Linked DNA regions of Nothobranchius furzeri. The protein of the gene in region 1 interacts with the protein of each later gene in a pairwise test. Links are inferred from orthologs where the notes say so. Each region holds a gene or a part of one and is shown on either strand. Other genes may lie near its edges.

Region 1 (4,403 bases):
TATGTCACAGACAGGACTTTTATTCATGTTATTCACCATTACGCCCAACAGATTGTACCAACTGTAAAGATGTCTGATACAAATAAATTCACTTTTACAATATTTGCACTTTTACAGGTCGTTACGTACTTGGTTTGACAACAGAGATTTCATTTTTTTTCCTTTATGTTTTTTTTTTTTAATAAAATCAGAAAAACAAAGAGTGATGTATCCGGCTGGCAAGTGAGTCTGATGAGGTTAGGGAATGTAAACAACAACAAAGGTTATGCCGTGTGGAAGTCTTTCTGTCAACAAAGTCAAACAGTTAAATTTTAGCGAGAAATTTCGACAGAAAAGATCCTTTTTCTAGATCTCTGACCTCTACAGCGATTATTTCTAGAATTTGAGTCTTAATAAGTTTACTCGTTGTTCAGGTGAGGTGTAAACAATTAGATGAACAAAAACAGCTCAGGTGACAGTAAAGCACAGCGCTGCCAGATTTAGAGTCTGGCCTGATGCGCTGATGTGTTCCTATCAGGCAACAGGATCCCAGAGGGCCACCGATCAGAGCACTGAAACAACAGGTGAGCAGTGAAAACAAACAAAAACCTGTGGCAGAAGCCACGTATCACTGCATGTGGCAAACGTCTTCAATCTGGGTGGGGTACAAAAACTCATTCCCCACAGAGGAAGTGTCTTTTAACCCAAACAACTAACCACCTAGAAGACATCATCATAACAAGGGAAAACACCAGGTTTGAGTGAGACTAACATGCAAACAGCCAGTAATAATGATGATGCTTACATAAAACCTTTAATTATAACCACACCACAAAGAATTAGGAAAAATGCATCAAACCTCCACATCAAGACACAAAGACAGTCTTTTAAACTTCATTCTGTCCGTGAGCGATTCAATCTTCTTGTTAGGCAACAACAGTGAGACCCGATCTCACCGAGCAGCTTCTTGCTATCCTGTGATTTCACTTGCTTTTAATCCAATTTAAGGAGAGAGGAATGGAAGATACGAACCACTAATAGATGTCTCTTATGATTGAAATGGGAGAATTATTGCTTAACACACGGTGACTAGCTTGTTGGATCACTTCTAAAAGCTTTTGAGTCATCAACCCAATGTATTTAAAGGAATGTTTGCATCTGCTGCAGTGGATCGATTCACGAAACGGACTTTATTACCTAGATGAGTGAGGAAACTCCCTACAAATGATGCATCATCATGGTTGATGATCTAATGATGCAAATAGAACTTAACGCAGTTTTGTGGAAATAATAAGAATGTAAACATACAAAAGGAGTTTCAGATGCATTCCGAACATACCCATGACACCACACGTCCATTAAAACAGGGCAGCCTAGCGTTGTCGTCAGATATTTCTTCCTTTACCACCCTGCAATGAGAACAAAGCTTCTGTCAGCAAATTGCTGCCAACACAAAAGCATTCTGTATTGGAAGTGCCCATCACACAACTGGGACAACATTTGCTGTTTTACAGGTGCACTAAGTACACAACTATTACACACTGAAAGGCCATGCTAAGTGTGTTTGGGAATAACAGACAGGGTTCTGCAAAAACGGACACTAAAATATCAGAGCAGGCGGAAAAACAAAAAAAAATCTGCATGTTTGAGGCAACCAAGACTAGAAAACCCTACTAAAACAAGAAACCTGGTTTAAGCATTAGGGAATTCAGTAATCAAGTACTCTCCCAATAAATATTATACCACCACTATATCTGAGGTAATATATCGATGTTTGGTGAATCTGTCTTCGAAAACAGGATCACCTGACCGGCCTAATTTCAGCACTTTTCCATTTGTTACAAAATAAACAGCAGTTTTAGTTTTCTCTTAAATGCAAATAGTCCCAGTTTATTGCCCCACCCTAGATTTTATTCAGACGGAGGCAATGTAGAAAAGCTGGCATGAGTGGTTAAAGAAAGTAAAATACCACGTTTGGTTCTTCTTGAAAAGAGCTATCTGGAGACACAACCCGTCTACTTTTGGGGCCATGTTTAAACACAAAAGGACGTTCTCATAAAGCTGCCAGAGTGATGAACGGGACATTCCTGCGTCCAGCTCCACATTCCTCTGGCTAATAGACAACAACAGCAGCAGCGGCCTGCTGCTCAGCCTCAAATGACCGTTCAGCAGCCCTTTAGCTTACGCAGCTGACAGCCTGATGTTGCCACCAGTAACTAATAATATTTACTAGTCTTAACCATCGCTGTCTTCGGGTGATCTGCATGAGGTTCAAAAAGTCAACCGATACACGACACTGGTGCACACGTCACCAATACCAAACTTGGTCAGGCAAACCGAGTGTCACAAGCAAGCTACACAGGCAGTGTAAACAAACGAGGGCTGAAGCTGAGCAGATCCGCTGCTTGCTAGCAGCTAACAAAGAAACGGCAGTGCAAGAAGCTAGCTAATAACCGACAACCAGCTAATGTAAAAATACAAAACAATAAAAGAAAGCCGAACGATGAAACCTGCACGTTAGCAGTCATTTTTTCGCAAAATCGTTCTGAAAACTGAAGAATGCTAATGCGGATCCATCCCGGGAACGTACAATCCATTTAACATTTACCCAAAATCATCGTCCATAGATTTGAAGAAGAATTTGTAATTTGGTTTCTTGAGAACATTTTTGAAGTCTGCGAGAGTGACTTTGTCCGCCGGAACAGGCAGCTTCACAAGATACGGCGTCTCCTGGTCGTCGAGGTGGTAGATAATTTTGGTTTCCCCCATCTCGGACTGTGGTTGTTTTGGTAAGGCAGGCTGGGTGCATCAAGCCGAGGGCCTGACAGGCTCCCTCTCGGGCCCCAACTCCCCGTGGCGATGGTGGCGGCTCGGCCGTGGTTCTCCCAAATCTTTCTGGCTCACCAACTCGTTGCTAAACCCTTATTCTGCTTTTTATGGCAGCTCACTGTACGCCCGTTTTTCCTCTGCTGAAAGAAAAAACCTTTCCCTTCCACAAAGCGTCCCAACACTATCCGAAGTAAGAATTGCGTTTAATCCTGTTTGTGTAAAACATTTAGTATGCCGTAGAGATGTTTAAAAAGTAGAAAAAAAACTTTTAAAATCCTGCAAGATAAACATTATCAGGAGGGCTCTTTGACTTCTCGGTAACTGCCTGCCAACCTCGGTACTTTTTAGTTGGACACGAAACAGTAAAAAAAAAAAAACAGAAAAGGATGACTCTAACCCCATCTGAGATTAGCGCCACCTAGAGGAGAGGAGGAAAACTGCAGGGCAAATGAGGCGAACATCAACTGGCAGCCTCAAAATAAATGGTAATAAAATATATTGTTTCACTTGCAGTTTATGTATAATAAAAACGAAGTTCATCCAATCTAAGCTTTAAGGGTAGACTATGATTTAAAATGGTCACAACATTTCTATTTTTTAAATACAAAATCATAACGTAAGTATGCAACCTCTGAATATTGTTTATGTATTTAGCAGACGCTTTGTCCAAAGCGACTTGCAAGTGATAATGAAGCCAGCAGGTTGCCCTTGAAGCTAACAACAAACACTAACCAGTCAATCCTAGGTGGCAGTAATTAACACTGTTGTAAAACATTCACACGTTTGTAACAAATGCTCGAAATTTGAGGCATTTTTTTCAAGCCAAACTACTCAAAGGTGCAGTGTGTAAGAATATAGTGAGATTTTTACAGTAAGAAAATCCCAAGAGTTTATTTCTGTCATTTTGAAAGGTTCTACTGAAACATATTTAATATCCAGCTGTGGGGATTGTCAGTTTTTCTCCTTTCAAGACAACTGGAGGGACATAACTACTGTTTACCATCAGTGAGTGTGGGGTTGCTATGTCTCTCGTGAGCCAATACTGCAGCGTTAACAATTGCAATTTGGCGGCGGCCGGAATAATAAAGCTCCAGTTGTTTAAAGTGATTGCTGTAACCAAATTTTACCACAGGATGTCATTTTTAACCTCATTTATACATAATGCACCTGTAAGACCACTTGGGTCACAACCATCTTTGATTGACCTCTGACCTTCTAATATACAAAACATTGTAAAAGAAAAACTCATTTCCAGCTTTTTTGCAGTTGTTTACCAAATAGTCACAGATTGTAACGTGCCTTGAGATGACTCTTGTTTTGGCGTTGGAAAAATAAACTGAATTTAATGAATTCTAAAATCGTTTTCAATATATTGCGGGAATAATGTTTGAAAACTCAGCTATAGAAACTCCTGAGGTCACATTTTAATATGTACAGCAAGCAACCACAATTGATTTTATTGAATGAACTTTGATTTGCCATTACAGACAACACAAAGCACAGAGACAAAAAGTAAATAATATTAACTGGTGGAGTTTTCCCACTGGAGAGATAGTGTACAAAATGGAGTAAATACAATCTGTTATTTCTGAATT
Region 2 (4,269 bases), on another chromosome or scaffold:
TCTGGTTTCTTTCTTTTTCTTCTTTGTCCCGATTGTGCCCTGAGCAATTTTATGAACAAATAACAAATAAAATCAATCAACATTAAATAATCGAGACCTCAAGTTCAGTCACAATAATCGTGATTATCATTTTTGCCATAATTGAACAGCCCTACTCTTTAGTGTTTAATGTTTTTGACGTCTTGTCTATGCAGAGCTTCTGTAGTTCAGTTGCGTCCATAGCTGCTAGCCAAACCTCAGTGGAGTTAAAGTCTCTTGTGTTTTCTGGATTTATTAAAATATCTGTCTGTACTTTTTTGATTGATGGCAGTTTTTGCTTTTTATTAGACTCCAAAAGTAATCATTTAGCATGTTCCTAAATTATAATTTGTAAGAATGTAATCAGTGATATTATCAATAGCATCCCGTAGGGTTTTTCAATGTATATTAGCAATGTGCTAACCACTCTCTGCCAGTCAAATCGCAGCCTTTGCGATTAGAAAATCTTTTTTGTCACATCACAATTTAATTGCATATAATTTCCCTACTTCAAACTAGAAGCTAATGATGGGTATATTAGAGCATCCTGGACTAATCATCAACAAAACTGATGATTAGTCGACTATTTAGTCATTTGTGGCAGCCCTACAGAAGACGACGTGAAAACATTACCACTGCTGCTGCATTGAAATTCACTAGTCTCTGGAGCTGGTCAAAACAAAGACATTCACTTTAAGTGTTCGCATATTTTGTACGTAAATGCTATTGCATGTTTGTAGTGTATTCTCCATTGATTAAATAAACATTCTGCAAGTAATTCAAGTTTCCCTGTTGTTGTCCTTTCTCTTAAAGGATACCCAAACTTTTGAGCGTTTGTGCCACTTAGAGGCCATTCTTCCTTCCCAGTAAAGCCTGACTCCGGTTTCACACTGCAAGTATCAGCGGAACGGAACAGCAGCGGAGCGGCTCACTCGCGAACTTTAAAGCGGTCCTTTTCACACCGGGAGAGTCTTGGTCGCGGCACGGCTTCCTCGCTGTGCCTCGTTGTACCCGCGAGATTCTAAAATCCCTCAAGACTTCCGACACCTTCCTCATCGAGAGATCACAACCCCTGCGAAGAATCGCACCGTTGCACTCCTCGAAAGAAACTGGTGGTAAACAAAGCTGTTCGGTCACACTTACTGACGTAAGTTATATATAACATTGTAACGTTGCATTTTATTTTGAAAATAACCGGGTATTTTACACTGAAACCGTGTGGTTTCCTGTCTCGCACTATGTGAACTGCGGGAATTGACGTGTCCCAGAAGTGGCTCCCGGAACAAATAGAACTCGATGTTGTCCTGGCAGAGAATTGCTTTGCAACACCCCTTGGGCAAACGGGGAAGTATGACAGTAAAACGCTTCTATCAATCCGTGCATGTCTGTCCCTTGTGGAGCTGACGCAGAAGCATGACTCAGGCTTAAACGCGTAGCTCGTTTAAGCTACACAACATGAGTGGTGATGTAATTTGCGCCAAATGGAATTGATAATGGAATCGTATGCAAAAATGGCAAATGATTCCAAGGAACTGCAACTGTGGGAACCAGTTCTCAACAAGAACCGGTTTTCAATTCCCAACCCTAGTATTTACCATCTTGTACTTGGACGTAGAAATGTATATATATCTCTGACCATGTGTATGAGCAGTATCAAGTAGTAAAACGGTCACTTTTAAAGGTATTGGTCATCGACACACGTTCATCCACAAATTGCTTTCACCTAATAAGTAATTATATCTGTGGAGTAAAAGCTTCATCACATAACTGGTGTTAAAACCTATAAAAGACACCTTGCTTCCATCAGTGTCCCCATGACAGCTGTGGCTGCTATGTAGCTCATCATCAACAGTGTGAAAGGGTGTGTCATGCCTTGGGGATTGTAGAAAGCGCTATATATAAATAAAGGACATTTATTCTTTGGAACTATTATGAATATAACTCAAGAATAAACGTAAGTATGCTTTGATTCAATGTAGGCATTTTATTTTTCTGGTTATGCTTTAGTTGTAGTGAACTATGAATGGATCACCTTCATCTTTGCTTTAAAGCAGCCAACCTGCATTAATTGTCTACAGTCTGTATTTCTCTGTATGAGCTGCCTTAACGAGTGGATTTTCCCACTGTGGGATCAATAAAGTATATCCTAATGTATTCTACTCCCTTATACTTCACCGTCAGTAAATGGGTAAATATAACAAACTCTCACCCAGTAAAAATGCAAGTGTTTCTGAAACCACGGTCTGGTCGGTCATTTTGCTCACAGACTAACGTCGTTTACAAGGAAAAAAGAAACAGGAACTTAAACATAGCCTTTAGCTTCACAGCTAGCGTCAGTTTCGTTGTTTTACACAGTATTCATTATTACGACGCTCACAAAAGACAACTGCTACCAAAGTCGAGCACAATTAAACTCGATTAAACTTTACAATAGCCGGCCTTTATCCTCTTTTAATGCCGAAGTGAACAGAAAGAAACGTGAAAATTACATACCCAAGTAGATGTCTCCAAATGATCCACTTCCAATTTTTCTGCCCAGCCTGTATCGGTTTCCGACTCTCAACTCCATGTTGACAAAATCTGACAGGCTAGCAACTACACTCGTTAGCTCCAATATTTGTAACAAAACTAATTTGTTCAAACGCAACACAATATTAAAAAAATATGAATCCAAAATCCTGTTTTAGCGATATATTTCGTCTTCTCAGGATTTGTGGGCTTCTTTTTCGCCTCCTTTTTCACAATATTATTAACATTATCTATAAACAATACGATGCTTGTCGGAAAGGTCAGCGCTTGTTCTTTCTGCTCCTGCTATTGTTAAAAACCAGTACGCGTTTATTTTACACGGATGAAGCTGGATTTCGAAGCTAGGTACCAGCTCCGGTACTCTGGCTTACAGATACTAGCTTAGAGCTTGCTAGGCAATTTATCGGAGGAGTTTGACGTCACTTCCTGGCAAGATGAGCGGAGAGGAATCCACCAGAGAGCATGTTAGTGAAGATACACCTATTAGTAACGTTTTGTTCCTTTGTTTGTACGGTTTGTGCAGATTAAATGTAGCAATATGAAAAGCGTAAAATAACGATAAAGCTTTTTGTATTGCAAATACAACACTCAAACATTTTTAATAGCTACTAGAACATTACCTCTGTTCTTGTTTACTGATAGAGACCAATCTTCACTAAATCATTGTGTCTGGTCAGTCACAACAAAAGATTGTTTCCTTTGTCCTCTTGGCCTCTGCCCATCATGCACTGTCCATCTCGCATGAACTTGTAAAAACTCAAATAAAATTAGGCAAGACCTAGATAGTTGTGAAATAACACCAGAAAATCTTGCCTGAATTAATGTTGAACGTTGTTGAATGTAAAAAGTTAAAACCGTAAAAAATGTCCAAGAAATTCTGCAATGGAAAAACGGCTCAGGTCAGCTTAGTTTAAGTTGTTTTTCCAAGTTAAGCTGAGATACGGCTACATGGGTGCACACCAGTCGTGTGCACATGCCCCATGCAATCTCACCCAACATAAAGTAGCGAAAAATGATCTGTAAACAGCGTAAGGGGGTCTGTATGCCACACATGGATGCTTGCTTTCCTCTTAGGTTGCTTATGAAATTATATTATGACATAGTATCTTATTTACACTATTTTATTTTCTCCTAACTTAAAAGTTATTATGCAGAGCTGTTTATAAAGTGTAGTGCTTAATTTAGATTAAGCTATAGAATGTCTATTATAGACTTTGACATTATCAGAACCATACTTTTGGTGTCAAATATAGCACTAGTCTACGTGTAGCACTGATTTTAGATGCACCCTTACAAGGGTGTCTTGTAAAATAAACTCCTTCACCCACAGCTACTGTTGTTATGAGAAGCTGCTAGATTGAACCTTGAAGTTAGAAAAACAAATTCCCAGACTTTCAGAGGGTCATCTGACTTCTGGGAGCGTTCCAGCTAATTGTTCCTACTCTGAAGTTAGAATATTCGAGTCCCCCAATGGAACACACCAATTGACTCCCTGTTGGTTTTAATATAATATAATATAATATAATATAATATAATATAATATAATATAATATAATATAATATAATTTTAAATATATTACAAGGACAATGTCCTTCCTTGGTCAAAGAAAATGGTTAAATGGAACAGATTTGCATCATGTGACGTGGGAGATAAATTTTATATGTATAAGTTTCAATTTTAAAGCCTTTTACATTTTAAATTGTGTATATTTGTTAAATGAA

Evidence for each region. The genes of interacting proteins can lie anywhere in the genome.
Region 2: the proteins of segment polarity protein dishevelled homolog DVL-3 (region 1) and csnk1da interact in binary tests that used the Homo sapiens proteins (3 or more experiments, as listed by UniProt). The two-hybrid records come from large-scale screens. The link is inferred for Nothobranchius furzeri from reciprocal best matches to the Homo sapiens genes DVL3 and CSNK1D.

The regions. Positions count from the first base shown.
Region 1 is NC_091751.1:58,288,080-58,292,482, forward strand, and holds the start of segment polarity protein dishevelled homolog DVL-3, read right to left. Parts: upstream 2,970-4,403; 5' UTR 2,749-2,969; coding exon 2,588-2,748; intron 1,389-2,587; coding exon 1,319-1,388; intron 1-1,318. UniProt on the Homo sapiens protein: Involved in the signal transduction pathway mediated by multiple Wnt genes.
Region 2 is NC_091758.1:11,453,761-11,458,029, reverse strand, and holds the start of csnk1da (casein kinase I), read right to left. Parts: upstream 2,819-4,269; 5' UTR 2,588-2,818; coding exon 2,512-2,587; intron 1-2,511. UniProt on the Homo sapiens protein: Essential serine/threonine-protein kinase that regulates diverse cellular growth and survival processes including Wnt signaling, DNA repair and circadian rhythms. It can phosphorylate a large number of proteins.